Linked DNA regions of Mytilus edulis. The protein of the gene in region 2 interacts with the protein of the main gene of each other region in a pairwise test. Links are inferred from orthologs where the notes say so. Each region holds a gene or a part of one and is shown on either strand. Other genes may lie near its edges.

Region 1 (8,421 bases), on a different chromosome or scaffold from region 2:
AGTAAGAGGTTATCTCAAAATGTGAACTGAGATTTAGTAGGAGGTTATCTCAAAATGTAAAGAAAGCTTTAGTAAGAGGTTATCTCAAAATGTATTCAGAGCTTTAGTAGAAGGTTATCTCAAAATATGAACAGAGCTTAATTAAGGGGTTATCTCAAAATATATCTAGATAATCTCTATCCAACATGTCCTTTTTGTCAACAGTAAAAAAAAAATCTATTTTTTATGATTTTGCTTGACACAATTTTCATGCTTCATGGTCAACTGTTTAAATCATCAATATGTAAGCAATTTTTACAGTAGACCTTATACAAGATACAATCAAACACTCAATATATCCTTAGTATAGACAGACAGATAACCTACACAAAGAGCCCTTATGTTTAACATTTCTCCAGGATTCATGGTACACAGATTCAACAAGACTTCCATTCTCCTTCTTCCACTCATTGATTCTTCGTCTTGTGTTTCTCCATTGGCCACCAGACTGGTACATACTACAAGAAAGGAATGGTAGAAATTGCTAATCGCACAAATGTCAATTAATGTTAAAAGATGTTTTAATTTTATTTGTTAACCACATTTTTGTATTTCTAAGTGTTATAATATACACTTAATTCTAAACATCATTTAATATTGATTGTCGTTTGAAACTCAGTGCTGTTCATATAGTGAATCTAAAAATATTTTCTTAGCTAAGAATTTTTTTTATCTAAAATTAGTTCTATGCTTTCAAAATCAATCTTTAAATAAATGAATAATTACAACAGTAAATGCATAAGACTTCTCCAACTCAAATTAAATCAAATGACTTGCGTCGGAAAGAATTTGATCTTATGCAAATGAATATCAATTCATCTGTTTACATATTTCAGGTTGAAAAAGTTTCTATGCAAATTATTATATCTGTAAAGGTTTAAAAATTGATTTGATATAAGAACCCCACAAAACAAACATTAATTCTATCTTTTATTTCATATTTCAATTTTCCAAAATCAATAAAAGTTTCATACAGGTACATGTTTACATGCAATTGCATAAGGTAGATTTCTGCCTGAGCAGCTTCAAATGTACCTTCTTTAAAGCTGTCTGGAGAGTTAGCCACCAGACGACACAACAACCAGCCTCCATTTGGTAAGTGTAACAATGTCTCAGCTACGTCTTTTATTTGAAGTAATGTAGGAAGCTCTACAAATATACAAAAAATTATTCTCTATTATCATTCTTATTTTGGTATTTGCAGTTCTTCAACAAGCAATGTACCTGCATTTGCTAAAAACAAGATATAAATCTATACTTCACTTGGAGTTGGATATTTTTGTGATTTTACTTTTTGTTACTTTTTTTTTTACATTTCATCTCATTATTTCTAATATGTAACACTTCTGTACTCGTACTCTGAAAAACAATTTATTACTGCTTACAACTATTCTATGTTTCATTTAATGTCATTTTGTCCCAGGTAAGGGTTGACTTATTGACATCTTCTTTATTACTAACTGTAAAGTCTGTGTTATACAGGGACCTATGTTTTAATATTGTATTTTTATTGTGTGAGGGTGTGTCAAAGATCAAACTAATTTGTTCAGTAAAATTGAGAATGGAAATGGTGAATGTGCCGAAGAGACAACAACCCGACCAGAGGGGAAACAACAGCTGAAGGTCACCAACAGGTCTTCAATGCAACCAGAAATTCTCGCACCCGGAGGCTTCCTTCAGCTGGCCCCTAAACAAATATATACTGGTTCAGTTCAGTGTATGCTTACTTGTTTTTGTTTAAATGTCTTTTTGATCAATTAAAGTCATTTCAATTGAATATTTTATAGCGTCCTTTTATGTTGTAATGTTACAAAATTGTCTCAGACAAGGGTGAAGGTTGGCACCAGTTTAAACATTTAAACATATTGCATTTTCAAGCACCTGTTTTTAGTCAGGAGTCTGTTGTTCAGTGGTTGTTGTGTGCCGTTGTGTTTCAAAGGTGTTTCTCCTTTCTCTTTTTAATATAAATCATAGTTGGTTTTCCTGTTTAAATTGTTTTACACTGGTCATTTTGGGGCCCTTAAATCTAAAATTTGCTGTTCAGAGTGAGCTAAGGTTCTGTATTTAAGGCTGTACTAAGACCTTAAATTGTACTTTTTAAACATTATGTCTTGGAAGGAGAGTTGTCTCATTTGCACTCATACCACATCTTCTTATCTCTATTACATAGATATAAAAAGAATTGGTATGAGTGCCAATAAGACAACTCTCCTTCCAAGTCACAATTTATAAAAGTAAGCCATAAGGTCAAAGTATGGTTTACAACGTTAATGTATATTACCTGCTTGTGCTATACACAATACATCAGATACTTCTTCAAGGTAAACAATGCTCTCCAGTAATTCTGATGACTTGAAATAAAATTCTGCCTTGTTTTCTTTCATCTGAAGCAATATAATATTGACATTGTAATAAAAGTATAATTTTTTTCATTATAAACGCTGGTTGCCAAACACAATAACATAGATCATGTAGATCTACTCTCATCATCATTTTTGAAGCAGAAACTAAACAAATCTGGTTTATATAGAAACTGCATTGTATTTCTTTATAAAACATAATTTAATTTTGGATGTAACGTGTCTTCTGATTGGCTGACGTTATTTTGTTATCAGCCCATAGACATAATTTAGTCATGTGATTGTGACGTCATCAACGTTTTTTCATGGTTTTCTACAGTTTAAAATGGAATTTAGAATTAAATTATAAGAAATGACTGTAATATTTTTTCTGTCTATTCGAAATAACCTAAAAAATGTGGTGCACACTGTTAAATAACCTGCTACGCGCGTTATTCAGTGTGTACCACATTTTTTATGTTATTTCTTCATAGACAGAAAAAATATTACAGTCATTCCTTAAATGTTAAAAATTGACAGTCTTCAACCCTCACTCAACAGTATATACTGGTATACTGCATATTCTTTATTATTCATTAAATACCATTTTTTGTGGATTTCGTGGGTACAGTTGAACTATGAAATTAAATTTTGTAAGAATGATAAATGTTCTTTATGCTTGTATGCAGACTTCGACAATACCATGAATTTTTAAAAACATCCACAAGTTTTCGTTAATGCATGAAAATTGATACCTCCCTCTGATTCTCATACATAATGTTGTTACTTAATTAAAACTTTTGATGTCTTTAATGAAGTTGAATATTCACAATAGAATAACATTGAAAATTCAATGTTGATTGTTTAACATGCTCAATTTACAAATGATAAGATAATTAACCTGTGATGCTACAAAGAGAAGTTCACTTAATAGCAGACGAATTCTACGAGCATGGTCACTTCTTTCAAACTCCATAGCAAGCCCACACTGTAACTGAGATATCAGGACACTGTCAGTCTGTGATGTACCAATCTTTGTCCTGCAAGGAATAAGGTAAAAAATTTAAGATTATTATCAAGGAAAAAAACAAATATGTCATCACTTCTGAAGGTATGGAGAGTTAATCTGGAAAACAATTTGCTCATCAATACTTACATGTACAATAACTCTTTTATCATGTTTATTGTGGGGACAAAAACTCCAATTGCAGCAGGAAAATCAATAATAAAAAAACATCAATGTACCTATGAACTCAAAATCATGAACTTTTTATTTTCCCGCATTTGTGCAGAAATGTCTTTCTTTCTTCTGGTCTCAATATTGTCATGAGACTGAATAAAATATACATGTATGTTAATTCATTTATTGTTATTGAGGAACATGAGGAAGGAGCAGAATAACAATTTTGTTTTTATTAATTCTTTGTATACAATGAAAATGAAGTCATAACTTAAATGATGCACAACTAAAATCCCTAACAGGGTTCTCGCTAAGGATTTTTGAAGGCGAGTCCAGGGACTCGTCATTTTTGGCCATGGTGAGTCCAACAGCAAGAAGAATATATTTTATTGCAATATAATGTAATATTTTATCCTCCATGGCCTAACAGAGCAATGAAATGACATTAAATTCAGATTACTTTTAAAACTTTTGCTATAAAATGATGATCATGATGATATTTGTGTTTTACTGTGTTCAATTTATACAAAATATTTCAATATTGATGCATCTTTGGACTCACTAGTTTTGAGAATGGTGAGTCCAAACAGATTTTGATGAGTCTAGGACTCATGGACTCGCTTTAGCGAGAACCCTGCCTAACAACAGGACCAACATAGGAAACTGTAAGATATTTTCGTTTCTTTTTGAACAGATTTTTAAATATGTTTGAAATAAAAAAAAATGATTAACTTTATCCTCTTTCACGGGTAATGCCTGCCTCATATTATTGCAACGTGATTGTAGCCAGTGCCTTACTCAGTAACTCACTACTGTTTTTAGGGGTGTACCTGAGCTGTTGTTCTTTTTTAACGTCTTGTTCTAAAGCATGGAAATCAATAGATAGCAATGCCACAATGCCATTCACAACTTCTATCCCAGATAAGATTTTTAAGACTTCTTTTTTAGCTTTTGTCCAGTTGGAGCTCTCATCAAGTGGTTTACACAAAGCCATTCTAACAAGACATGGAAGAACTGGACGCAAATCAAATTCCTTCGAATCACTCAGTGAAGAGATGTCAACATCTCGTACTGCTCTGAAGATTTCGGGTTTAACACTACACTTTAGATTCTGCATTGTTATTGCTAAACCTAAAAAAATGTAAAGGATTTACAAAAATTTTAAAAGTCAAAATTTTTTCATGGGGGCAGCCATTTTGCTTTCTCAACGTCAGTCTGACGCTTTGTTGTAATTGCGTTTCTTACAAGCGCGAAGAAGACATAGATCATATTTTTGTTATGGCTGCAGCTGCAAGACAGAATTCCTCCCATGGTAAAATAAGTGCTAATGTTGCTCTAGATAACAACAGACCCCAAAATAAATAGTTCCCCTCTAACCTTATAGTTCTGTCATGCATATTGTTGTTCATAAATACTTATCAATGCCAGAACAATATGAAAAGCAGTTTGAAGTGGATACAAAGCTTTTCACAACTCAAACAGCAAAAATACATTAATTCATTCAATAAATATATTTTATGACCCTGCCATAAGGTGGCTAAGGCTGTATAGTTCTACCCTTATCTGCCATTTGGTCATTCTACTACAAACAGTTATACACATACATGGGTCCAGCCTTTCTCCTAAACACCAAATAATTGGTCAGATCATATGTTATTGTATTCATATATGAGGGTGGTAATGGGGATACCTTCATGACGAATAACGATAAAATTCTAGCCAAATTTAAACGTAAAAGGTAATTTTAGATGCATGACGATATTAAAATGTATACTTTCTTTTAGGGGATAAAAAAATCGACTGATTTTGACGAATCACGTTAAATTTTTCTCAAAAATGACGGTAAGGATAATCATTTGACACCATTGACGAATCACGGTTCACCATAAGGATATTTTGACGATTCACTGTAAAATTTTAACCAATTTGACGCTAACGGTAGCTGGAATTGAACATTTGACGCCTGATGGTAAAGGCCATTACTACCCTTATATGTAGTTTTTCTTACAAGGAGAGACAAGATGGAATAGAACGTAAATTATAGCAAGATCAGCTGAGCAAGATGTTTCCAGAAAGAAATTTTTTTATAAATGGGGTCATGAGGATTGACATGATTGAATTTACAAAGAATGGAAATCATCTTTTGGGGAAAACACTGAATATCATTAAGAATGCTGTATCTTTTAAATAAAAAATAATTTCTTTTTCAGAAGCAGATGAAAGAGTGAGATTTCAGACAGAGTTAGAATTTGTACAATGTTTGGCTAATCCGAATTACCTTAATTGTGAGTATACAATGACAGTAAAAAACCAATTCTAATTGAGAATGTGTCTTTGGGACAGATGATGCCCCATACTTGCATATAACATTGTAAAGTGACATACATCCACAACTGTTAAAGTGACAACACCTATATTCTTAAGTTAGAGAACGGAAACAAACTTAGGTATGTATCGATGAGCAAGGGCAACACTGAATGTCAAATGTAAAACCTTTTTAGGTTGGATGACATCTACTGTTAATATTAATTTGTAACTGTTAATATTCTATGTTAGATGCTCAGTCATTTGCAACAAAACTGCCCAGATGACAATAATTAGATATCTCAAAAGTTTATTTTTAACATGAAGATATATTTTTTTATATTACATGAAGGAATACACACTGACGATTTGCCACTGATTTAAATACATGTAATACAAGCTTGGCTACAATTTGAAAAAAGTTTGTTTGCATAGCAAAAGAACTTTTGTCCTGCAATGTACGTGCCACCAAAACTGGCAAAGACCCCTTAAAGAGTCATGAGAGTTGTTACAAGAATTCTTTAATTTTCAGTTATTATTTTCTCTCCCAATATGAGCCATGTAATTTTTTTATCATTGATTTATTAAGATTGCAATTGCATATTTTATCCTTGTTATGTGTTGTGTGAACAGTTTTAAGTTAACAGAGCTGTAAAAATATACTGTTCAATTTTATTTTTTTATAGTTTTAGCACAGAGAGGATTCTTCAAAGATCAGACATTTATCAACTACCTTAAATACCTGCAATACTGGAAAGAACCTAAATATGCTAAATACCTCAAGTAAGTTTGTACAAAAATGTACAATAGTGAATTTTTGTAGGAATCTTGTTATACTGTAGATTCATTTATTTTTGTGTATTCCAATTTTTGTGGATTTTTATGTGTTCCAATTTTTGTGGATTTTTTTATGTGTTCCAATTTTTGTGGATTAAGAAAATCTTGCATTTTCGTGGCTATTTGATATCGTGATTTTGCCAATACAATGTACATCCTTATACATGTTATAGAAAATCTGTAATTCTTTGAACATTTATACTTGTGGTTTATCTGTACCCACGAAATCTTCAAAAATTAGTACCCCACAAAAAAACAATATATCCACAGTAGTAGATATTTTACGAAAAAAAAAATAATTATAAATTCAACAGAAAAAAATTGTTCTCATTATGACCTGACATTTACTTGCTCAATGCAGGATATGAATGAGATTTTCATTTCCAGAAGTTGACAGATATGCCTTGTACAGTACACACAAGGAGTTGCAAATTCTTTATGACGTTATGTTAAATGTTCATGTTACAAGTTGACAAATAAACACTGTATGAGTTATGATACACCAAGCAATATCTGCTTTAAAGATTAAGACTTTCCCATTGTATAACTAGTTTGTAATTATCTCTTGCAATATTTAATTTGTTTTCATTATTTTTATTTCATTTTCAGATATCCCCAATGTTTACATTTATTGGAGCTGCTACAATATGAACACTTTAGAAAAGAATTAGTGAATTCACAATGTGCTAAGTTTATAGACGATCAGCAACTCTTACATTGGCAGCATTATCAGAGGAAACGCATGAAGTTATTGATCGATGAAGCGGAACGACACAAACAAGATCAAAAAGATAAAACTAGCTGACACAGCAATAATAAATGTGTTGATTTAAAATTAATCGGTCAGAGATATTCTCTGAATTGTAATGGCAGCTATGTGGATGGTCAAAATTATTGTCATCTCTTAAACATCCAAAACGAACATTTTTATGTGTAAAATTTTTCCGAGGTTGATACTTGTCATAGACGTAACATGTACATGATGTATTTAGCAGGAAATTTTTTCATCTCTGTTCATAGTTTTTAGGCAGTTTTATAAACTGTATAAAATAAAGAGATGTTGTATAGAGATATTGTATTTTCATTGAACAGAAGTTTCTTTTTGATATCTGTTCCAAACATTTCCCAAATAGGGCCTAAATTTATATATTGTTTGTTTCCCCAATCCCAATCCTCCGCAGCCAGATATGGGTAGGTACATGTAGGTAGCGAAATAATTTTAATTTTCCAAACAGTTTGAACATTATCGGACGATCAGGTAAGCCTGAAAATCAGAAATGAATAAAATAATATTGGACTTAGATTTGACAATACAATTTTATATGTAGCACCACATTTTCAGGGTCAGTCGGGATTGGGGAAACAAACAATATTTTATTTTTAGAAGAAATATTAAATCTAATGTGAACAGATGATATAGCTTTATTTATCATGTTTATAACCAAGTTTCCATACAAATATTTGGCAGGCACAATATTTACTCATTGTTGAAGGTAGTACAGTGACCTATAGTTGTTAATGTCTGTGTCATTTTGGTCTCTTGTGGACAGTTGTCTCATTGGCAATCATACCACATCTTCTTTTTTATAGAACAAATATATGTTAACAGTATGACTGCCAATAAGTCACCTATCAAGAAGTGTAAAAAAGATGTTGGAAACTAGCTGTGTTGGTCACTGTTCCACCTTCAACAATAAGCAAAACTCATACTGCATATCATGC
Region 2 (8,349 bases):
GAAATTTGGTTCAGGATTTTGTACTGTGTTTTTTCAGATTCATCACTCCACAACTAGATTTATGTCCATTTCAACAAAACAATATTTGTTACAAAAAATGAAAAAGACTGAAAGTGGCTTGATTAACATTGTTTAACGAAAAAGAATGTAATATATCATTATTCTAATTTCTTATAGGGTTAGAATCAGTAAAACATATTTATTACAAACAAAATGACTCAGAAATTAACAACTATAGGTCAGAGTACAGCCTTAAACAATGAGCAAAACCCATACTGTATTGTCAGCTATAAAAGGCTCCAAAATGACAATTGTAAAACATATCAAACAAGAAAACTTGCAGCCTTTTTATGTACAAATTAAATAAATTGATAAGCAATTTAGTTTTCCATTTGAATTTTGTTTAAATGGATTTTTTTTTATAGTTCTTAATATTCTTTTTCAGGAAGTAACGAGTTTCAGACAGTACATGACCTTGAAGGAGAAGATGGTATGACAATCACAGCTGATCTGAGTGGAGGGAAGGGAGATAATGCATGGCAACATACCCAGTTATTCAGACAGTCTAATACTGATTTGGAATTCTGTCCTTTTGAAGTCAAAGTACATTTTGCATAAGTGTTTTGTTATGAATAGTATTATTGTTTTTCAAAGTTTTTTGAAGTTGTTGCATGGGAGATATTGAAAAAAAAAAATCAAATTTGGTAGTTTTCTTTCAATTTTTCTTTAAACATAAATTCATAGATCTAACATAGTTAAACTGGAATTGCTGATTTGAAATTTATGAAAGTATTATCATGTGCAATAAGAAGACAATATATAATAAGCTAACATTTTGGCATCTTCAATTTATTTCAAAGTGCTGCTTAATTTTGTGATCCTTCAGATAATCATTGTGCAATGATATTGAAGTTCAGAATGGTTCATTTTTTGCCTGTGAATGGTTATATATGTAAAAAGTTATTTATAAATATGGTCATTATTTATTAGAATTATATTTTCAAAATGTTTACTTTTACAAATTTTTCCTAATATGAAAGTGATATTTATACTACAGAAGCTTGAAAATCTTATGATTGATGTTTATAATCATGTTTTTTTCAATAGAAAAAGATTGCTTGATATCATAAATGTTATATTTGTAATACTGATTCATGACTTTAATAGTTTTAAGGGGGCCATTGAATTTGAGGCCATGGGAAGGGATCTGTCAATTTTTAAGATATAATACTTACACATTTTAATTTAAGATTTAATTTAATATAAATGTTATTGGGATTTTTAGTTTCAAAACTTACTCAGACATTCAATTTTCATTTTATTTTTGGGGAACATAATCAGACAATTATCCTGTAGTGGGAAAACCCCTCTTAATGTGAGGGTGAATGTACACATACAATTTTTAGATGTTATATAATTATCATTATTCCACATTCCTGTTTATTTTGAAGTTTTTTCTTACTGAAAAGGAAGCTTTAAAAGGAGCATTGGAAGAACAATCATTGTGATGTAATTCTGGTCAACGTTTTTACTTTTTTGTACTTTTTCTATTATTGAATTAGTCTTTCATCTGACAATGTGTATTTATATGTGTTTGACCCAAAAAAAGCTATATATGAGATTGTCTGTATAAATACCTTTATAATTTAATGTACATTGGAAAGCTATCATAGCTTCATCTTAAATTTGTTGAAATTAATGTGTATGAATGATTGAAATTGAGAAATGAATCCTCTGATGAATTCATAAATTTGTATAATTTTCTTACAATTGAAGGGAAAAGACTTTTTTCTATGATTTAAACAAATTTTGATTTTATACAGCTGAATTATAAAGTTTAAAGCATTTTCAAGGGCATGCTATCTTTCTTATTTTTCATGAAAAAACTTCAAATTTACTACTGAACTTTGTCTAAAGCTGCCTTCTTAAAGATATATAAATAAGTGTAAGGCTGTATTAAGGTATGTTTTTTTGATTATTATTAAATAATGATTATTATAGTGTTATTGTAATACTAAAAAATCTGTGTTATTGTTAATGATCAAATTGTTTTTTTTTTCTGCATTTGACAACATAATAAATGAAAGATCATAGCTAATATTTGTCTTCATTTCTATACATGCACCTCACAGCGCTATTCAGTGACGTGAGAGTCATATAATTATAACAGCTGCAAGTTTTTGGTTTAATCCTTTGTATGGTAATTTATTTTTCATCTCTACAATTTTAACACAATATAAAAAAAAGATGTGGTATGATTTCCAAAGAGACAACTCTTCACAAGAGACCAAATGACACAGAAGCTCACTACACTGTCCACTTGTTAGCTCAAATTTTACATGGAACAAAGTTGTGAACAAATGGAGAGTTTAAATGATGTGCTGTTTGTAATAGGTCATTCTAACAATTTGACCTGCTGCTCAATACTGACAGGGGCGGATCCAGCCATTTAAAAAAAAAGGGGGGGGGGTCCCAACCCAGGATAAAGGGGGGTTCCAACTATATGTCCCCATTCAAATGCATTGATCGGCCAAAAAAAAAGGGGGGGGGTTCCAACCCCTGGAACCCCCCCTCTGGATCCGCCACTGACTGAACACTTGATTCTGTGGACCTAGAAATTTATTCTTGCAATATTCTTGTTCCCACAGCAGATCTTAATCTTGAGAAAGTAGATATCATATACCCTGTAAGCAATCATATTCAGTTGAGACTTTAAATAGGCACATACAATGTTCTTAAAAATAACTTTTTATGCAAGATTGCTGGAATGTGTATGAAGGGTGATGCCCAGTAATAAATATGAATGAATGGGCTTAACTTCAATGAAACAGCAACACAACACAAAAAACAACACAAAATGTTCTGGTCTTACAAGATAAATTGGTGTCAATACACTCTAAATCCACCCCAAGGTAAATACAGATTAGGAATAACAGATGCTATCAAACTGTTTCCAACATCTTATTCTCTAAAATGAAAAACACACTTTATGATGTGAAAAAAATACTGCTAACAAGGTTCCTCACTTTTGAAAGGCTCATTATAATGCCATAAAAATATGTAGCTTATCTTGCCCAAGAGGTCAAGCGAGCTATTGCCATCAATTGTAGTAATTTAAAAAAAAAAATCCCCTCTTAAAATACTGGGCCAAACATTACTTTAGCCCTAGGATTACAATGTTCTATAATAGAGTGACATGGGCACAGCCATTTTGGAAGAACAACACATAGAGATAAAATAAGCTACATGTGATTAGTAATTATATCATTTGCATATCTTTCTTCATGAAAGCATTATGAGAAAAGCTTCATGCAAGCACAACATTATCTTCAGAAGTATATTATTAAACCTTGCTGTGAAGGAGGTTGTACACTGTTTTTCCCCTTTCTGTATGTCTGCCCATCCCTCCCATGAATATCTGTTACAGATTTCTCATGATCTACAGATTAGAGCATCCTGAAATTTGCTATCAGGCTTCATATGAACATGTCAATGTGACCTACCGAATAAGACTATTTACCGGATTTGTAATAACATAAGCAACACGACGGGTGCTACATGTGGAGCAGGATCTGCTTACCCTTCCGGAGCACCTGTTTTTGGTTGGGTTCATGGTGCTTAGTCTTTAGTTTTCTATGTTGTGTCTGTTTGTCTTTTTATTTTCAGCCATGGCGTTGTCAGGTTATTTTCTATCTATGAGTTTGACTCTCCCTCTGAAATCTTTCGTCCATCTTTTATGCTATATGATGCAGTGTCTGTTTACACAACAATTTTATATTTAAGATTTTCAACCTGTATTGTTTTGTTGTTGCTAAAACTTAAAAAAAAGAAAGAAACTGTAATTGGCAAAAATGTTCAGCACTTTGCATCAGTCAATATTGCCAAAATTGTCAACCTATTCCTCATACTAGGAATGACAATTTCTTCTGAGGCTTTGGTTTGATATTTCAACCCTCCCTTATTAAATGAAGTCTTGATCAATGGACCAGCAAAAGATACATAAAACTAACCAATAACAATTGAGTGCAGGAAAACCAAATATCTGAAAATAAAATACAGGTAAAAAAATAACACAGAAAATATTTAACAATGTTATACATATCAAAGACATTGAAAATGCCTTGCAGCAATGCCACACACAGTACAGGAATACAAGATCTTTTTCTTTTGAAAAAAACAAACAATAAAATTTTAAAGCAGATTAACCAATACAGACACAATATGAATCTGCAAATTGATGTTCATGGATTCCAAACAAATATCTGAATCATTGAACAACAACTTATTTATAACCTCTATCAAAAAGTCTGTCTTGTCAAAGAGAGTTTAGAAGGACACTTTCTCTACTTGTGTAAGCTTAATAGACAATATATCGGGGAATTTTGATGTAAAAAAATCTATCAAATTCCTGCTTGGTTAAAGCATACTTCAACTATCAATAAATTTGATAAGATTAAGTGAAATTTTTTCAATGAAAATAATCTGTTTATTAAAATCTGAGTAAGTGACATTTGTTAACTAGCAATGATGCTTTTGTAAATGCCATCATGTATAAAATAATACTTGGTAGTATTCTTTCTAAACCATTTCGGTAAGGATAAAATGCTTGTGGCGAACTTAAATCGGGGACGAAACCACATTCAGGACGAACTGAATTTTGGGTCGAAAATACATAGATTAGTGACCGTAAAATTAAACTTCCGGTCTAAGATATTGATCAACCTGACCACTTACTGAAAGAAAAACATAGTGAAAGCTACAATGACAGCAGTTGTTCCTACATTTTCGATAGCCCCAGCCTTTTATCTGACGTTTTGGTGATCCACGTCCGAACAAGAAAGGTTAAATTTTACCCATTTCTTGTCAAGATCAGTAATCATACCAGCCTTATGACCATGATAAATTATTTCACGCACACGGACATATTATATTTTTCCCCAATTGTCGAAACCAAAATGCCATCGTTTGCTCGATTTAACATTGCCAGATGAACCATCATCACTGGATTCTAATTTGCATTGGCAGCAACAGGTGTTGCAAGTGGATAGCCTGAGTTTATCCATACGACCATAGGCATAGCCATGACGAATGCTAGTCAATTCGTTCCAAGTCCGATTCGTTCCAAACCAGTTCGTTCCAGATTTGGACAATTCGTACCAAGTCAATTGTCAATTCGTACCAACTAATTTATTTTATTATTAATCAGACTTAACAATATGTTCCAACTTTTTTATAGTGTGTATGTCCGTAAATCACTGTATTTGTGTAAATCAACCCACTGCACGGCAAAAATCGTCAATTTTTTTTATGTATATTTCATATAATAGATCGTTTTTCAATCAGTCTTAACAATTTGTTCCAACTTTCTTACACTGTCCGTATATCACTGTCTTTGTGTAAATCAACCTATAGTTCACGGCAAAAATCATCAATTTCTTGTCAATTTTTATGTATCATATTTAATATTTTCATATTAAAAGATCGTTTTTCAGTAATATCTATGGCTTCTTTTTTGCATGTGCGATATGAAATTTCATGATGCGTTTATGGTTCGATTTTAACAAATATTTATGTTGAATTACGCAGATTTATATGTACAATATTTGTTTATTTAGACATAGATTTTTTGGGTTGTCTTTGTTTTTTTCTCCTTTTCTTGTCAACTTTTATCATATTTCGGTATAATCTGAATGTCTTTTCCAATAAAAAAAAATAAGTTTAAGGTTTACATGTTTATTTGATATCATGTCATTGACACATATACTAATAACAAAATATAACAATAACAGTTCAAGTTCATGGATAATTGATCAATAGTCTAAATGACTTGTAGTATTTCAGAAAGTTCATTCTACTGTTCAACGGACGGCACTACGATAAGTGCAACGGATGTCATCAGCTGGGTTACTGTAAGCTGCTGGCTTCTGTAACTGTCCCACAGCTCCATCAGCTTAGACTGTGATCTCTCTGTGGCTGCTCTTTGGTAGCGCGTGAGTTTATGCTCCGACACTAATTGGATCTGCATGGGTAGGTACCTGGCTTCATCACTCAGAACTTTCAGCATCACATACAAGTGAAGGCTGGCACCCTTGGCCTTGCGGTTTAGTCTGTTGTGCCAGCCTTCGACGTCGTTGTTAGTGCGAATGGGTTGGCCAAAAACAGTCCAAGCACTGATGGGGAAGATGGTGCTACCTATCCATTGAAATACAATAATCAATTATAATAATAACGAATTCTTTGAAAATAACACTAGTTAGTACTTTATTCATTTTTAAAATATTAGATTGTCATGAAATACTTAATAATTAATATTTATCAATATATCATACCCAATATACCTTTCTTCCTAATTAATAAATCATAGATTTTTATTAAAACTAAGTATTTATTTACATTATATATATATAAGTACAGCATTATAAATTAAAATAATAAGGCTATGCAAATGGTTAATATTGTTTAATACTGTTGGAACGAACTGACAAGTTTTGGAAAAAGTTGGAACGAATTGTCCAAGCAACTTGGGACAAATTTGTTGGGACGAATCGGAGTTGGAACGAATCATCCAGATACCGCCATGACATAGGCACTTGTTTTCTAGTCCAATTAATTATGATGTCTTGAAAGGTTATTAGATATTTTTTCTTTGACGCGTTACGTCAAAGCAACATTTTTAAAAAGCCTTCCAAGACGTCATAATTATTTTGACTAAGGCACTTGTCTCTGATAAAAAAATTATTTCATTCCACGGTTGTCGTCTACTTCTGCCGGATAATGACCACAATCAACTAACTGAATTTTTTGTACATACAGGCCCCACCCCCTCCCCCCATTTTATTTTAATTTAGTTCAGCTTTGTCACTGAGGCTTTAAAAGCCTTGACTGACGGTGCTGATACAACCCCAGGAGGTAGAGAGTTCCAATCTTGAGGGGATAGGAGGGGTCCTGATCCCGAAATCCCAGACTTAAAAAAACGAAATCCTGAGGTCCCGAATTTAAATAAAGTAAATCCCGAAATCCCAAAAAGGGTCAATCCCGAAATCCCGAGCTTAAAAACACCCAATCCTGGAGTCCCGATAAAGGTCCTATCCCCCCTCAATCTTTGATGTTTAGCGGAAAGAATATTTCCATTAATCACTTGTAGCTGATGGAATTTTGAAGCTTCTGTCATGCATATTTCTTGACAATCATTTAGGTTGCATCAGAAGATCTTCCTTTGTCTCTGCAACTTTTTCATTTACAATTTTGAAGAGCATGGCGAGTCTTGCATCTTTTTGCCTTTTTTCGAGGAATCTCAAATCAAGATAATTAATAATCTTGCTTACACTTGAGTGATTAAGATGTTTGTTCATCACATATAATTTGGGCTGGACCATCTCTAGTCAGTCAATCTCAGTTTTATTGTATGGATCCCATACTGGACTGGCTGTCGAGACTGTGATTGGTCTTGCTAGTGTTTTATAGGCATTTTTCTTTACAGAATTAGATCTGATATTCAAGTTTCATTTTAGGAAGCAGCTTGTTCTTTTGGCTTTGTTGCAGACCTTATTTACATTCCATTTCAGTTGAGATGTGAATGTGCAGCCTAGGTATTTGGCACTTTTGACAGGTTCTAAAGTGTGACAATGTAGTTTGTAGGATGTTGTAATGGTATTGTTTTTCCGGCTGATGATAAAGTACATTGCACTTGTCTGGGTGGAAGGCCATTTTCTATTTGGTTGCCCATGTAGCTAGTTTATCAAGATCTGTTTGTAGGTTGTTCAAATCTTTGTAGTTTGATATTGTCAGGTATGCTATGGTGTTATCTGCATGATGGATTTAATATCATCAGTCATTTTGTTGATGTAGAACAGGAATAGGGAGGGCCAAAGGACTGAGCTTTGGGATACCCAAAATTCTACATCAATATGTGATGAGCTCTCTCCATCCACTACTACTGCTTGTGTCGGATGTGACAGGAAGCTAGCAATCCACCTATTGACCTTTCCTCTGATTCTAGAGCACTCAAACTTGTTATATATATGTCATAAATCTACAAAATTGAGTAAAACACACCAATATTTCTGTTGTCAGAACCATATGTAAATTCCTACTAATAAAGTAAAAAGTAAATTATTTCATATTCTCACAGAGAACACTTGTTAGCTAGCCTTATCAACCTTCTTGCTACCTGTAGTTTTATATGTTTGCATACATGTACAAGAATCCGGAAATTTTTTCACCTAATTTCGGTCATTTTCGGATAACTTAAAATTTGGTGCCCTTTTTCAAACAAAGATTGCGTGTATGCTCATACAGTCCTACTCGTAGCATCAACGAACTTGTTTAACTGTTGCATCGCATTTACTT
Region 3 (8,216 bases), on a different chromosome or scaffold from region 2:
TGACAGCTGGCTTTGATGTGGTTGCCACAAGAGTTTGGTAAACTTACATGAAGTATCTACATTAAAGGCCATATATTGACAGCTAGCTTTGATGTGGTTGCCACAAGAGCTTGGTGAACTTACCTGAAGAATCTACATTAAAGGCGATATATTGACAGCTAGCTTTGATGTGGTTGCCACAAGAGTTTGCTAAAATTACCTGAAGTATCTACATTAAAGGCCATATATTGACAGCTGGCTTTGATGTGGTTGCCACAAGAGCTTGGTAAACTTACCAGAAGTATTTACATTAAAGGCCATATATTGACAGCTAGCTTTGATGTGGTTGCCACATGAGTTTGGTAATCATACCTGAAGTATCTACATTAAAGGCCATATATTGACAGCTAGCTTTGATGTGGTTGCCACAAGAGTTTGGTAAACTTACCTGAAGTATCTACATTAAAGGCCATATATTGACAGCTAGCTTTGATGTGGTTGCCACAAGAGTTTGGTAAACTTACCTGAAGTATCTACATTAAAGGCCATATATTGACAGCTAGCTTTGATGTGGTTGCCACATGAGTTTGGTGAACTTACCTGAAGTATCTACATTAAAGGCCATATATTGACAGCTAGCTTTGATGTGGTTGCCACAAGAGTTTGGTAAACTTGCCTGAAGTATCTACATTAAAGGCCATATATTGACAGCTAGCTTTGATGTGGTTGCCACAAGAGTTTGGTAAACATACCTGAAGTATCTACATTAAAGGCCATATATTGACAGCTAGCTTTGATGTGGTTGCCACATGAGTTTGGTAAATTTCCAGCAGATATGTCTCCAATCCATTCCTATTGAAAAATCAAGCACTTTAGACATGTTAGATATTGCAATTTGCAGATAAATTATAAATTCAGATATTATAGAATGCAATTATTCAAAGTGATGGTTGTAAAACACAAAAACCTAAGATTAAACTTATTGCTATTTCCTGCCACTACTGCTTAGACATAATGATGTCAGATTCTGCTTTTTGAGGAACATATTTGATTACATTTTTTTAAATTGATAATCATAAAAAAAGCACCAGATTCTGCTTTTTGAGGAACATATTTGATTACATTTTTTTAAATTGATAATCATAAAAAAAGCACAACAAACAGTATTGAAATTTATAATATTCAACCAGCTATAATAACGACTGTATAGTCTTTTCAGCCTTAAGGGAAATGATATTCTTCACATTGCAGGCCTGGCTCTTTAATGTCTTATTTGATTCATTCATGAATTTTTAAATTAACTTTGCTTCCTATACATTCGTATTGATACCGGGTAAACAAATAACACACAAAAAAATTATGATTTATTAAACTGTTTTATTTGAGTTCTTGTTGTGAAATAACTCAGATTTTAGTATGTGTAAGATTGAACTGTAATATTTATACGTTTTGTGATGTTGCATGGAATTTTACACTTTTTTCAGAAAGTAAAATTTGTTATATGTCTTCCCGTACGAAAAAAATCCAGGCGTATTTTACACGGATTCCAGACAGATTTTTTTAGAGGGAATCCTTTAAAGTAACCTTTTACACAAAGAATCTTTCTTACATGGATTCCAGGCGGGTTCAGGGTGGAATAGAGCTGAAATATGCAAATTTATCCACCTGTCTTAGGGGGAAAAAAATCCGCCTTGTTAAAAGGAAAAAAATTTCTAAAAAATATATCCGCCTAAAGAGACGGAAAATATGTCCGCCTAAAGAAACGGAAAATATATCTGCCTTTAGATTTAATACCATGATTCATATTCTGTCATATTTATTTTGTTTTGTTTGCGTCATAAAAGAAATATTTAAATAATGTGAATTTTGAGGCCCCTCATGGGGGGGTCCTAGTAATCACATAATCACCATTTTTTTGCCAATATAATCACATAATCATTAAATATTTGCTTATCTTTAGTAATCAAATAATCATAAACTAAAAATACAGTCCTAGGTAATCAAATAATCATGAAATATTTGGCTTAATAATCAAATAATCATTAAAAAAACGGCCAAGTAATCACATAATCAAAAACCCCATGAGGGCCCTCAATTTTGACTCGCTTGAAGCTTGAAAGCCGACTAAGTGACCTTTTCTAAAAAAATTATGATTTTGGAAATGAAATACCTTTTAGCAAATTATTAGTTTGTTTGGTTTATTTTTTCTTTCTTAGTGTGACTTAATACTGTATTATAGATTACCTCTCTTTTAAGAAGTTTTGGTGCTGAATTCTTGTACTTCGATGCCTTAAACCTCCAAGCCATTACTGCTTCCTACAATGAATATAAAACTTAATCATTACTTGTTGTCAACTTTAAAAAAAAACACAAAAATATCGTCAAAAGGACTACAACAGTAGTTTTAAGAATACTTTTAAAAGGCTAATTGAATCTGGAATGATTTGGATATTTTATCTGACATGATACTTTTTTTTTTATCAATATTCAAGAATTCAAAATTATTCGAGATTGAAATAATTCCTTGTTTGTGGTATAATGGCCAATGAGACAACTATCCACCAGAATTCGAAAAAAGCTCATATAAGGAATCATTGGCGACCATTTAGCCTTCAACAATGAGAAGATCCATATATTGTATAGACTAGTCACCTATAAAAGACCTCAATGGCATATGAAAGATAAGAAACAATTCAAACAAGAAATTATCAGTCTAATATATGACAAAGTGTGTACAGTTTTGCTGGTTTGTTGAAAACAGGACACCCTATAATAATATGGGCATGTACACTATTCTGACTCTGTCACAGTCTGTGCAATAACACATAAACTTTATGCCGAGTTTTTAGGAGAGAAGCAGCACATACCAATTCTAAAGTCTTTGACCTGGGTTCAAACCCCAAATACCAGTGCCAGTGCCCCTCCCCCTCCCATTTATGAACATTTCTAGATCCGCAAGGCGCCACTATAACCCTTCTCTATCCACCATTACTTGACTTCATAAAGGTTCACATCAAATTTTGATGTCATTATACAAAATATGTGACGCTTCAATGGAAAATTGATAGCTCTATGACATCAATAGTTAAAGCAGGACAGAGTCTCAGGTCAGCAGAGGCAGAATTCCAGATAGCAATAAGTATAGGCAGTGTCTGCGCGTACCCGCATACGGGTACGAATAGTCAAATTGCCGTTCTATGCTGCGCGTACCCACATCCGGTTTTATAATAAATATATATATATAGGTAAGTGAACAGTTTTTTCTCAGTTAGCAAATATTCATAAAATTGAAAAGTGATATTATAACTGTGGGGAAGACTTTAATTTATAATTTTGTTCATTTTAACCTGAATATGAATACCTAAAATATTTTATTATATTTCAGGTGCAACAGTAAGAGTAGTAAAAGATGAATCTGGTGTTTTGAATGAAATATTTTTCCAGGATAAACCATTTGCAAAATTTCTTTGATAAATATCCTGAAGTCTTACTTATTGACGCAACTTATAAATTGAACATGTTGAATGACTTACGACTGCCTCTTTTTATTCTTATGTGCGTTGACAGGAAAACAGTTTCTGTTTTACATTTTACTGAAAGATTATTTTAAAATAGCATATGGGTATATTTAAATTATTAAAATTTTATTCTTTAAATTTTCTGTGATTTAAATTTTATAACAGTATTAATTTCTTTCATGTTTTTCTTTTAAAGGGACTGTACAGCACAGGCACTAGACGTTCTGTCAATAGTATAAAAATATTGGCAATTGGAAGAAAATAGTGTCCATATGGACACTATTTTCTTCCAATTGTGTCCATATATATAATATATTTTTATACTATTGACAGAACGTCTAGTGCCTGTGTGTACAGTTTCATTTTCCATCATTGTGCATTTAATTTTGCAATGTTTATTATCATTATTTAATTAATACAATTTGAAAATAATATTTTTCATACTCTTCACTCGTTCTACACGAAATCCCCATATTATCGATAATTTTTGTATATATTTCACGTTTCATTCCCGATCTGATGGCATTTTAATAGAAAACCGGATGTGGGTATGCGCAGCCTAGAACGGCAATTTGACTATTCGTATCCGCATGCGGGTACGCGCAGACACTGTCATAAGTATAATCAATAAGGTGTTTTATGAGAATGAGTCATGGCTCATGCACAGTTGTTCATTCAGATATATTTCAGTACCCAAGATATCTCTTGAATGAGTATAATTTGAATTTAAAATAAATATCCCTGCATTGACATTAACTGTTTGCTGGTGTCTCTTTATGATCTGTTTATTGGGCAAAAGTATAAGCAGATAAGGGGCGGATCTTGGAACAACATGATCAAGGACATGTACATTGACAACAGATTTATATGAAGAAAATAAGCTTGCTTATTCTCTTCACATTTTTAAATATGTTCGGAAAGCTTGATTTCAAATCTGTAAGTAATTACTGTTAGGTTCTCCCTTTAAAACTGTTTTTCAATAGACTTTGTCGTCTGTTATGAATTTTACAGGAAATCAGTTTATCAGGTTTGAAGTTTCCGGCTTTTGAAGTATCGCGGGGATTTCCGAGATTAATTGAGAACCGTCTGGGATAAAGAGCAGACGATTTTTCAATTTTTAAGTCGAATTAACCAGACTAAAAATTCAATTTTACTACCTAAATGAATATCAAACATTGCAAAACGAATTATTTTATATAATTTCGCTGTTTACTTCTATGATCCCAAATCTATAGAATTACATAATTTGTGTTTCGGTATTGACTTTTTATAAACCTCTTGATTTTCAGCAGACGGAAAATGGCTGCTCTAAGGGGAGCATGCTGTCGGCTTGGAAATAAGAAACTAAATGCAACAGTGGTTGTTTCAGGGAAGTCTCCCTTCCCTGACGATACATTTCATCACATCGAAAGGCGTTGTTCCTCATCTCTAATTTTGAAATCAACTTCCAAAACAAGTAAATCTTTAAATATGCACTAAACATTCTGCATGACCGACAAGGTCGAAACGTCCCTGCTTAGAACTTAATTGCGTCATATGTATTCAGGGTCTATTTACTCAATGATTGAAGTTTTCTATAGAAATGATCGAAGAAATCCATAAGTAAAGCCATCTGACATGTAGTGTTGACATGTTTTGTTCCTTTATTTATGTAAAAGATCCTAGAGGTACTAAAACAAAAACCACAAGGGCTTGTTTTTAGTGCTGTTGTCTGACCGACTAAACAAGACCCTGTGAAGATATCAAATGGGCATGCAAACTCATAAATCAAAAACAAACTGACAATAAAAAAAACCGACAGTACTGAAAGAATAAAAAAATCCATAAGAAGAGCAAAACAATTCTGACCAACATTATTATGGGGGTAGGTGTAGTAAGCAGATCCTGTTCCACATGTGGCACCTGTCCTCTTGCTTGTGTAAATGCTAAGCACTTTTGTTTGAAAGGTCACATTTGTGGAAAAGAGGCCAGGACTGTTGTTAACCACAAGCAGAATATAATAAAAAATGTTTAAATGTTTGAAAACTAATCAACCTATTATCTGAGATGGCTTGGTAAAATGTAAAGATATAAACTCTTAAACTAACCTGGTTTTAAAGTCATCCATACTCTACATGACTTGGCACCATTGCGCACTGGAAACAATTATAAAATTTGTATGAAGATAGTCATTCAAAATATTCTGTCTGGTCAACATTGAGGCCGAGAAAAAAAAATCGATGTTTCCGGTAACCCGACCGACCCTGTTTTATAGCCCTGACCCTAACTTTTTTATTGGATCTTCAAAAAAAAAAAAAAAAAAAATTGTATCAACCGACCCCATTTTTGACACAGGCTTCTGATAGATGACATAAGGCCGAGAAAAAAAAGATCGATGTTTCCGGTAACCCGACCGACCCTGTTTTTTAGCCCCGACCCTAACTTTTTTATTGGATCTTCAAAAAAAAAAAAAAAATTGTATCAACCGACCCCGTTTTTGACACAGGCTTCTGATAGATGACATAATGTTTTTTCTCTCTTGCTTCTACTTGCATAGAAAGCCAGTAAAACATTTTATTAATGTCAAAAGGTATTCCAAATAGGTTAAAATCCCAGAAATTTGCACAGCAGGTGCTTCAAAAACATTGCAAATGGCACACTTCCGGTTTTTGAAACTAATTACGGATCCGGACTTGGAAAAACCATGATAATTTTCCGGATTTCATTTACGATGTCAAAAAAAAAAAAAAAAAAAGAATTCCGACCTACCGACCCTATTTTTCAAAATGATGTTACCGGAAACACATATCTTTTTTTTTTAGGCCTAATATTTTTTCTCTCTTGCTTCTACTTGCATAGAAAGCCAGTAAAACATTTTATTAATGTCAAAAGGTATTCCAAATAGGTTAAAATCCAAGAAATTTGGACAGCAGGTGCTTCAAAAACATTGCAAATGGCACACTTCCGGTTTTTGAAACTAATTTCGGATCCGGACTTGGAAAAACCATGATAATTTTCCGGATTTCATTTACGATGTCAAAAAAAAAAAAAAGAATTCCGACCTACCGACCCTATTTTTCAAAATGATGTTACAGGAAACACATATCTTTTTTTTTTAGACCTGATAGGAGTGTATTATGGTTCCTGTGTTAAGAAAGTACTGAGGTGTCAAAGCAATAAATATCTATAAGAGAGCCGTGGTGTAGTGGTTAGTGCATCAGACTATTAACACAAAGGTTCCTGCTTCGATTCCCGTTCCGGGATGAAAATTTCAAGTAGTGAATTATCGGTTCTCCCTTGACACCATTTGCAAGTATGGTCTTGAGGAAATGATGATGGTCCGTTGGAAGGGGACGATAAATGACTGACGTGTGTTAAGAGAGCCATATCTAGATATCTCTTATAGCTTGCAAGTAAATGACATCCTTGTAGATTTTGAAAAAGAGCAGGCTAATTAATGCGGCTGGGCAGCACTCGCGTCTCCAAAGTGGAAAGGGATAAATATAAGATGCAATAACAAATGAATAACTTGTTTCCCAATCTACTATAAATAAATATGTTTAAACTAATAAATATCTATATATATATATCTTACTGTAATTTCAGATTTATTGTCTGTTGCTCACAAAACCTGTTGTTTACATAGAAAAATTCACAGAAGTTCACCAAACAACAAAAAAGACTATTACGAACTTTTAGGGGTTCCAAAAAATGCAGATGCTAAGGCTATTAAAAAAGCTTACTATGAGGCAAGTATAACATGTATAATAAAGTAACTGACTGGATAGCCTTAATATTATCGGTGGTGATTGGTATTAGGCCAAACAAAAAAGTATGTGTGTTTACTGTCACATGCTGGAAAAAAAACAAGGGTAGGTATTTTTTTTTTTTTTACATTGAGTCTTTGGGAGCAACATTGTGACTTTATCAGTGTTTAATCACAAATGGCAAAAAAAACTTAAAGATAAGGGATACAAATTAGGGTAGGAAGGGGTACAGTAAACACACATACTTTTTTTTTGCCTTATTTTCAGGGGTCACACATTTCTACTTTGATACTTACATAGTGCAATGAAATAGTCGGCTAATTGATCATAATTTTGTTATCAAATGATAGAAATCAACCTCATGCATGTGTACATTTACAAAACTTTGATTGATTTACACGATTTAGGAACATATGTATAAAAATAAATGATGAGCATGATGAATGTTCATGATGTTGGTCTGTTGTTTAGGGTTTTTACATAACTCACTTTTTATTTTATGAAATCGTGAAAATAACATATTTGTTTTTTTTATCACACCTTATGTGAATCTACCTACTTTCCAGCTATACTTCTAAAGAGATCCTGATTAGGGATAACTGCACAGAGTTACTAACATTGCTAACCAAGATGATATATTTTTTCAAACATTGAAAAAAGTGAATTTTGTCATACTAGTCAATATTAATCTATTCTAATATCTGTATTTCTTTTATTTTAGCTTGCCAAAAAACACCACCCTGATGTGAGCAAGAATGATGCTGGATCTGCTAAAAAATTCCAGGAAGTGTCAGAAGCCTATGAAGTAAGGACTGTGCAAGGAAAAGATAGTTTTATAAACACGATAAACCTCTAAATGAGATATAATACATTTATAAATTCCATCAATACAAACTGACAGTCACAGTATAGTGTTTAAAGTGGCATTAAACACAAATCAATCTATATCCGTGTTGTAGTATGATTGCCAAAG
Region 4 (8,855 bases), on a different chromosome or scaffold from region 2:
TGAGACAACTCTAGTCTAAATTCAACAAATAAAGATAGTCTGTAAGATAAATTTGTTACATAGTGTGCTAGTGACAAAATACAATAAATACGGCATCAGTAAATTCAATACGAAGCTCGAACCCCATATGGAATTTACTGACCATGTATATATAGTATTAGGTCACTAACACACTTTGTAACTAATAATATCGTTTTAGTGGTTAATATATGTAATATATGTCTATTGACATATGTGTGTTTATCTGTATGGCACGTTTATATGTATTTACAATTTTTATTTATTTAAAGAGTTTACTCCCTTAAGTGTTCTGTGTCCTTTCAGAACTTAAGTTTTACTTACAATTAGATCCACATCCTCTTTACTTATTTTTATCTTTGACAATTCTTTCTCTCTTGCAATGAATTCTGCTCTTTCTTTGGTCTTTTTCTCTGTTAATTTGTTCATAGCCTGAAATAAAAAATAAATAAATATGAGCTTATTAATATAATCTTATTTCATTAGGGTTGCAATTTCAGCACAATATCTTCAACCTTAACAAAAGTTTTTTTTATTCAACAACTACATGAACTAGTCAAGTATTCATTATTCAGTCGTTAGGGGACTAAAATTAAAATCCTTCCACCCACCCAATATAGTTCAATAATCTGTATGAAAATCTACCAATTATTTTGAGTTGGTCTTAGTTTATGAAAATATAGTTTTATTTTATGAGGAGGGTAGGAGGGGTCCTGATCCCGAAATCCCGGGCTTAAAAACCCAAAATACCAAGGTCCTAAATTTAAATAAATTTGAATCCCAACATTCCGAAATTCGAAAAAAAAAATTCCCGAATCACGAAAGGGTCAATCCTGAAATTCAGAGCTTAAAAACACCCGATCCTGTAGTCCCGATAAAGGTCCTATCCCCCTTCTTTTATTATGATAAAAATTTCAAATGGGCCCCTGAAAATAAAAAAAATTAAGGGTCCAGCTGGCCCCTAGAGGAAATCAGTTAAGTTTAGTCCATGATTCATATATTGTAATCTTGCGAAATCCAGACCCATAAACACATGGCAAAATCATAAGCATGATAAACCACTCATTTATTCCTCAGTTATCACTAATTATTTATATACCTCCATATAGAAAGGTATCAGGTCCGTTCGCGCCCAATATAGTTTCGCACCCTACACGTTCGCAACTCACATTTTCGCCCCCGAAACATAATCCGACTTAAAGCAAGGACTTTTTTTTTATAAACTTGTCATGACACAAAAAAACTTGTCAGAATCTCGAATTATTTAAAAACATGGCATATATATTTATACCAATACACCTCCAAAAAATCGGTAAAATTAGGTGCAAACATGTGGGGTGCGAACGAACTTTTCCGCAAAATTTAGGTGCGAACATGTGGGGTGCGAAAGTGAATGGGTGTGAATGTGGAAGGGTGCGAACGTGATTGGGCGCGAACAGACCCGGATTCATATAGAAAGAATCCCCCCCTTTTGTGGACTTGTAGTTGCACATATTTATATGATTCAATGTTCAGCCAGTTTTTTATTAACGGATGAAGCCAGGTGCCCAGTGAAAACCACGGACTTGGAAAGTGAAACTGACTACCCATGTAAATTAACATTTGAGTCAAGTGCACCAGCATGAGCTTGGTTTCGAATCCGGGTCCGTCCGCCCTGATTTTTGTTCGCCCTAGTAACTGTTCGCCCTAGTTCCGTTTCGCCCTGAGACCGTTCGCCCTGATACCTGTTCGCCCTGGGTATGTTCGCCCTGATTTATATTTTTTATTATAGTGTTGTGTTGTGTGTATTTAATTGAATATGTTCAAGTCAGTCTACAAATTTCAGGATAAACAAGGAGAAAAACATATGCTACATGTAAAGTGTAGCAAGGCACTTGTTTTAGTGGTGTATTCCTTCGAAGGTCTTGAAATTACATATTGAATGATTATTAACTTTTTTTTTCATTCACGATGAACATGACAACCGGCGAATAACTAACATTTACTGTATTCTGAAGTCTTCATTGTAAATGAACAGTATTTGGTTGATTTTTTTTATATATAAACTGACATTATGTATTAACTAACAGACATATTTCTCTGGAATTAGTGATTCCTTTAAATATTTTAAATTCCCTGCTTGTGAAAACGTACTATGAATTTAAAATAGCGAGAATAAAACTTGTGAACCACATGTCTTATAAATTATTTTCTGTGCACTATAATGTATAAATGTAAATGCATATTTTGTTTTGTTTAGTACCAAAGTCAATGGACATAGTCGTAGGGGAACATGTCAACACTTATAAATGAGGGTTTGAATGCTTAGAATGTGATTATCAAATATTTAGTTTTTAATCATTGTCGCCCATAATTTGATTTTCCTTTATTTTATAATTTAGCACCATTTTAAATCCATATTCTTTCAAATTTAAATTAATTTCAGAGCCGATAAAACCTCACCCAGGCCCTCATATATACAATGTACTAGAAATTATTCTGACACAAAATTAACTAATTGACCTAATTCAATAGTAAAGTGATTTAATCAGGAGACTCGTGAGTTGCATCCTCATCTATTCTACTCACTGTTTTCGCTTGCAATGGGGTAGGACAAAATAAATCTGTTGTCGATTTCCTTTTACTCTGACAAACTTTAATTACAGAAAACTACCGTAAAGGGTATTTCCAAGTAGAGGAGGGAAAATTAATTCAAATGTTCCCATAAGTCTTTAATAATTCGTAAAGGGTATGAATCAATAACCGCGCCAACAAGACATATCAAGTTGCTACATTATTGTTTAGTAGCCAGTTTGCTGCAATGATCATTTAAAAGAAAATACAGTGAAGGAAAAAAAAAATTTTCTTTTTTTTTTACTGAGGCAGTTGCCTCGGTTGCCTCAACGTAAGCTATGCCCCTGTTATTAATAGATAAACATAAATTTTTATATATATAAATATACATTTCTTTTATTAATGTAACATTTACATATCATTAATGAGAATAGGGCGAACGAACTCAGGGCGAACGGATTACCAGGGCGAACATGTAATCAGGGCGAACGATCCCGATACCCTTGGTTTCGAACTCACAACCTCAGTGTTGACTGGATAGTCGCCGAGTCGGGGGTGTTCACTGCATATGAATCTTATATGAATTAGGGGGGGGGGGGGGGGGGGGGGGGGGGGGTAATTCAACTCAACGTTGTCACAATACTTTTTTCAGTTTTGAAATTCGGTTCTGCCATTTGTTTAAAGAATGCACCCACTTACATCACCAATGCTTTGTGCAGAGATTTCCGTTTCCTCGACAAAATCAGTGACTTTTTCTAAATCTGCCGCCCCTGAATCGTGTTTCTTTGATTTGTCCTTCTTACTGTCATCTTCTTGATCAGGCTCCTCTACTTGTTCTTCTTCAGTTGTCATGTTTTTAACTGGAAATCAATCCTCTCAGTGCAAAAATAATTTGTGATTTTCTTTTGGTATTTTCACGTGTGTTGTTTTGTAAGAACGATAACTCTGCAGAAAATATCTGAATACCGAATTAAAATACTGTCTAAAAACGGACAGAATTAGAAATTTATTTTATTTATTTTCCTTGATATTTTCGAATGTTTTTGTATCAAGCTTAACTTATTTCTGTTTTCTGTGAACGATATAATCACTTCTGAGGTGTAGATACGACCTTTATCGGGACTCTTGGATCGTACACCACTTCCGGAAAATAAAAAGGTAAACATTAACAAATCGCATACTAACTTGCTTTAGTTCTGCTTTACTTTTCATGTACTAATATTGCTCATTTGTCAAGTTCATTGTCCTCGTGGGTAGCAACACGAGTCCAGTATAACAAATCATTATTTACTAACGCTTATATTCAAATTTATGTCTCACCTTCTATGTTCGAGCACATCATATTAATAAACAGTTATAAACATTTTACCAATAAAAATGTCGTTATTTAGTACAGTACTCACACTGATAACAATTTATTGTGTGTGTCATGAAGTAGATCATAAGTTTGTGTCATTAGAAAATGGCAAAACTACAGGTAGTTCACCATTTATCAAATCTTACCCAAAAGACATTGAAGATCATAATGCTTTGTTATTTGTTCCAAAAATCAACATTACAGAGAACAAATTTGTATCCATGTATTTCTGGCTATACCACTCAAGAAAAATACACTGCTGCAATAAAGCATTACATTCAACTTTGAAAAACCACCACTTGTTGCTAAAAATTCTGTTAAGTGGCCAAATTGAACTCAACCCAGGCCCTAGAATGCCACGCTGGCCATGCGGTTCATGTGGAAAAAATGTCACTTGGAAATGTAAAGCTCTAGAGTGCGACTCTTGTAAGACTTGGTACCATGTAGACTGCCAAGGAGGTATGCAAACAACAATGTATAACATAATGGACAACAGTAACCTGTCCTGGAACTGTATTAAATGTGGACTCCCAAACTTTAGTAGTTCATTTTTCAACCAAACTGATATATCATCATCAGTCACAAACAATTCTTTTTCATTGTTAAGCGATATTGGTAGTCCTGGACAGCCACATGCTTGTTCATCACCAATATCACAAAAGGACATCAGAAAACAAAACAAAAAAGGTATAAATACCCAAAATAAGTTACTCAGACCTTTAAAAATAGTAAATATTAACTTCCAGTCTATTAAGAACAAAAAACCAGAAGTAGATATTTTGATTGATACCACACAGCCTGATATTATAATTGGTACTGAAACCTGGTTAGACTCAAAAACATCATCTTATGAATATTTTCCAAAAGATCATTACACAGTATTTAGAAAAGATAGACCACCAAATAAAAAAGGACAATGTCATGGAGGTGTACTCATAGCTATATCAAATAATTATTTATGTACAGAAATCAAAGAACTAGACACAGGATGTGAAATGATATGGGTAGAATTATCGATATCAAATGCACGTAAATGTTATATATGTGCTTATTATCGACCCCAGCCAGATGATGATACATCTTTAGATTTACTAAATGAATCCATAAGTAGAATAAATGTAAACTCAAAGTCAGCCATAATTATTGGTGGGGACTTTAATTTAGGAAACATCAATTGGGAAACAACAAGTGTCATCCCTGGAAAACCAAACCAAAAACAACATCAACAATTTTTAGATATGATAAATGACCATTCATTAGCACAAGTTGTAAACATACCAACTCGAAATGATAAAATTTTAGATCTTGTGTTAACAAATTATCCAGCCATCATTGAAAAAACTGAAACCATACCACCACTAGGTGAGGCAGACCATGATATTGTATATTTAGAATGTTTACTATCACTAAAAAGATGCCAAACCAAGCCACGAAAAGTATATAAATATAAAAATGCTAACTGGCAAAAAATAAAAGAGGATATAGACGGCATATATCAAAAGATCATACATAAAAAAGATAGTGAAGATACAAACACACTTTGGTTAATATTCAAAAACTCATTACAAAACACTATCACTGAGAACATACCACAGAAAATGATGAGAAATAGTAAAAATTTACCTTGGATAACAGACAGTATTAGACGGCAAATGAAAAAGTACAAGAAAAAGTATCAAAAGTACAAATTAAAAGGCAAAGGGAAACTAGACCAACTTAAAAAATTAAAACATGATATACAAAAACAACAAAGAACATCTTATTGGAATTATATTGAAAATATGATATGTGGGATACCAGTTGATGAAAACCCTACTACTATATCAAAGAGTTTCCCAAAAAATCTGTTCAGTTACATAAAAACACAAAAGTCTGAAAGCTCTAACATACCACCACTCCGAAAAGAGGGCTCACTAACATCTGACTCAAAAGCAAAAGCTAATATTTTAAATGAACAGTTCAAAAAAGCATTTACACCTGTAACAGATGACCCAATACCAGACAAGGGCGTCAGTAAACATCCGCAGATGCCTGATATTAAGATACAAAAACAAGGCATTGAAAAACTCCTAAATAATATCAACATCAACAAAGCTGCTGGGCCTGATCTCATCCATGGTAAAATTTTAAAAGAGTGTAAATCATCTATCTCTCCCATCTTATCAATCATATTTCAAACATCACTGAACTCTGGAAAGATCCCAGATGACTGGCGTCACGCAAGTGTATGTCCAGCATTCAAAAAAGGTGACAAACACGATCCTATAAACTATCGTCCAATATCATTGACTTGCATCTGCTGCAAACTATTAGAACATGTTGTAGCTAGTAGCATTATGAAACATCTGGAAAAAAATAAAATACTATATGACTTACAACATGGTTTTCGATCCTCCCGCTCCTGTGAAACTCAGCTAATATCATTTATTCAAGATCTTGCAAATTCAAATAATAAAAACATCCAAATAGACATCATAATAATGGATTTTGCAAAAGCATTTGATAAAGTTTCACACCACCACCTCATGTATAAAATTGGTTTCTATGGTATAAATTGTAATGCATATTATTGGATTCAAGATTTCTTAACAAACAGAACACAAACAGTAGTCCTTGAAGGTGAAACACCAAATAAAATTCCTGTAACATCTGGGGTACCCCAAGGCACAGTGCTTGGTCCAATTTTATTTTTAATCTTCATCAATGATTTGGCAGAATATATTGAACACAGTACATTAAGATTGTTTGCAGATGACAGCATTATTTATAGGGAAATTAAAAAACCAGATGACACACTTAAATTACAGTCTGACTTAGAAGCGGCCGGCAGGTGGGAGCAGGACTGGCTCATGCATTTCCACCCTGACAAGTGCAACATTCTCAGTGTAACTCAGAAACGCAAACCTTTAGACTTTACCTATAAATTACACAATCACTCTTTAGAAAAAGTTGACTCTACAAAATATTTAGGCCTAACTCTTCAATCAAACTTAAAATGGGACAAACATATAGATAACATGACATCAAAAGCAAACCAGTCCCTTGGATTTATTCGTAGAAACCTAAAAATAGCATCACCGAAAGTTAAAGCTCATGCATATAAAGCTCTTGTCCGACCAAAATTAGAGTACTGCTCAACAATTTGGGACCCACATCAAAAACAACAAAATTTACAAATTGAAAAAGTTCAGAGAAGAGCAGCACGCTTCTCATGCAACCGCTTCCATAACACCAGCTCAGTTACTGAAATGATGACAGACCTAAATTGGTACCCACTCGAAATTAGGCGTTTACGATACAGACTTGTTTTCTTTTACAAAATTATTCATGAAATTGTTGCAGTTCCTACACATAATCTTTTGATCCCACTTGACAATAGAACCAGACATAGCAATCCACACTCATTTAGGCAAATACAAACATCTAAAGACAGTTATAAATATTCATTTTATCCACGAACAGTTATAAATTGGAATCATCTGCCACAACAAATAGTATCATGCAGTACGGTAGAGGGATTCAAGAGTATGATCTCAGAATCTGCTCTAATCCCCATATTCTATCCCTAACTATTCTGTTATCAAATGTATATAGTTTTATCACAACTTATTTTTTCAAATGTACATACGTTATGTTGATTTTTTGATTTTGTTATTTTTGATTTTTTGTTGCTAAATTAGTGTAAATTATAAATCTTATAGTCGACGCCCGGCGAATAATCTTCAATAATTGAAGGATCGCTAGAAACCAAAAGAAGAAGAAGGGTGTTTAAGCTCGGGATTGACCCTTTCGTGATTCGGAAATATTTTTTTTTACTGACGGGATTTTAAATTTATTCAAATTCGAGACCTTGGGATTTCGTATTTGTAAGCCCGGAGTCATTAAGATCAATTAAGGCCGTGACAATCTAGTTCATTTAATAGGTAAGTCAAATATTTGAATAATGAAAAATTCAATCATTTTATAAATCTTTGTGCAGTCTTTTAGATTTCTTCGGATAAATCCCAATGTTTTATTTCCTTTGCCTACAATACTGACTGGCAATGTGTCTATCCCAAGATAGGTTGTTGCTGATTGTTACGCCTAGCTATTTGCTTGCATCAACATTGTCTAGTGTATGTCCGTGGATTTTATATGATGTATCTCTCACTTCTTTGTTCTTCTGAGCTATTCTTATAACTATGCATTTTTTGGCGTTAAAACTCATAAATTTGCCATTTATTATCCCATTCTTCCAATGATGTTAAGTCTTTTTGTAAAAGGTCGCTGTCTGCCTGGTTGTTTACTGTTCTAAAGAGTAGGCTATCGTCTGCAAATAGTTTTGTTTCAGATGATGTTGATGTTTCTGGCATGTTATTTATGTAGGTCAGAAACAATCATGACACTATGATAGCGGTCCAATAACTGCGCCTTGGGGGACGCCTGAAAGTACCGGAACTTGAGAAGAGACAGCTCCTTCTAATATTACACTCTGCATTCTGTTTTCAAGGAATGATTAAATCCATTTTCTAGCTTTAGGGTTTACTCCATAAAATTCTAGCTTATGTAAAAGGCGGTGGTGTGGTACTTTGTCGAATGCCTTTGCAAAGTCAAGAAGGATGATGTCGACTTGGGATCCTTCTTCCAGTTTTTTAGCAATGTCATTGATTGTTATTATAAGTTGCGATTCGCAATATCGTTTTTTGCGGAATCCATGCAATGCGTTGGTAAGTATCTTGTATTTGTCAAAATGGTCCATAATACTGCTGTGGACTATGTGTTCCAAGACCTTAGATGTGATGGAGGTTAATGATACTGGTCTATAGTTGGAAGCTAAATGTCTTTCATCTTTCTTGAATAGAGGTACCACGTTAGCGTCTCTCCAATCTTGTTGGACTTCTCCGGTGCTAAGGGATGTTTGGTACAGATCTGTAAAGAAAAGGAGCGA

The links.
Region 1: the proteins of huntingtin-like (region 2) and mediator of RNA polymerase II transcription subunit 31-B-like interact in binary tests that used the Homo sapiens proteins (3 or more experiments, as listed by UniProt). The link is inferred for Mytilus edulis from reciprocal best matches to the Homo sapiens genes HTT and MED31.
Region 3: the proteins of huntingtin-like (region 2) and protein tumorous imaginal discs, mitochondrial-like interact in binary tests that used the Homo sapiens proteins (3 or more experiments, as listed by UniProt). The link is inferred for Mytilus edulis from reciprocal best matches to the Homo sapiens genes HTT and DNAJA3.
Region 4: the proteins of huntingtin-like (region 2) and huntingtin-interacting protein K-like interact in binary tests that used the Homo sapiens proteins (3 or more experiments, as listed by UniProt). The link is inferred for Mytilus edulis from reciprocal best matches to the Homo sapiens genes HTT and HYPK.

Annotation. Positions count from the first base shown.
Region 1 is NC_092349.1:27,276,695-27,285,115, forward strand, and holds mediator of RNA polymerase II transcription subunit 31-B-like, read left to right. Parts: upstream 1-4,766; 5' UTR 4,767-4,836; coding exon 4,837-4,870; intron 4,871-5,768; coding exon 5,769-5,843; intron 5,844-6,548; coding exon 6,549-6,645; intron 6,646-7,308; coding exon 7,309-7,504; 3' UTR 7,505-7,770; downstream 7,771-8,421. Other genes in the region: integrator complex subunit 2-like, read right to left, coding at 367-497, 1,075-1,188, 2,321-2,423, 3,280-3,418, 4,389-4,675. UniProt on the Homo sapiens protein: Component of the Mediator complex, a coactivator involved in the regulated transcription of nearly all RNA polymerase II-dependent genes.
Region 2 is NC_092347.1:34,305,693-34,314,041, reverse strand, and holds the start of huntingtin-like, read left to right. Parts: upstream 1-4,679; 5' UTR 4,680-4,841; intron 4,842-8,349. Other genes in the region: peptide-N(4)-(N-acetyl-beta-glucosaminyl)asparagine amidase-like, read left to right, coding at 446-618.
Region 3 is NC_092351.1:74,633,264-74,641,479, reverse strand, and holds the start of protein tumorous imaginal discs, mitochondrial-like, read left to right. Parts: upstream 1-4,771; 5' UTR 4,772-4,796; coding exon 4,797-4,953; intron 4,954-7,082; coding exon 7,083-7,225; intron 7,226-7,964; coding exon 7,965-8,048; intron 8,049-8,216. Other genes in the region: coronin-7-like, read right to left, coding at 732-831, 2,224-2,286. UniProt on the Homo sapiens protein: Modulates apoptotic signal transduction or effector structures within the mitochondrial matrix. Affect cytochrome C release from the mitochondria and caspase 3 activation, but not caspase 8 activation.
Region 4 is NC_092354.1:40,489,136-40,497,990, reverse strand, and holds the start of huntingtin-interacting protein K-like, read right to left. Parts: upstream 3,520-8,855; 5' UTR 3,424-3,519; coding exon 3,271-3,423; intron 451-3,270; coding exon 343-450; intron 1-342. UniProt on the Homo sapiens protein: Component of several N-terminal acetyltransferase complexes. Inhibits the N-terminal acetylation activity of the N-terminal acetyltransferase NAA10-NAA15 complex (also called the NatA complex).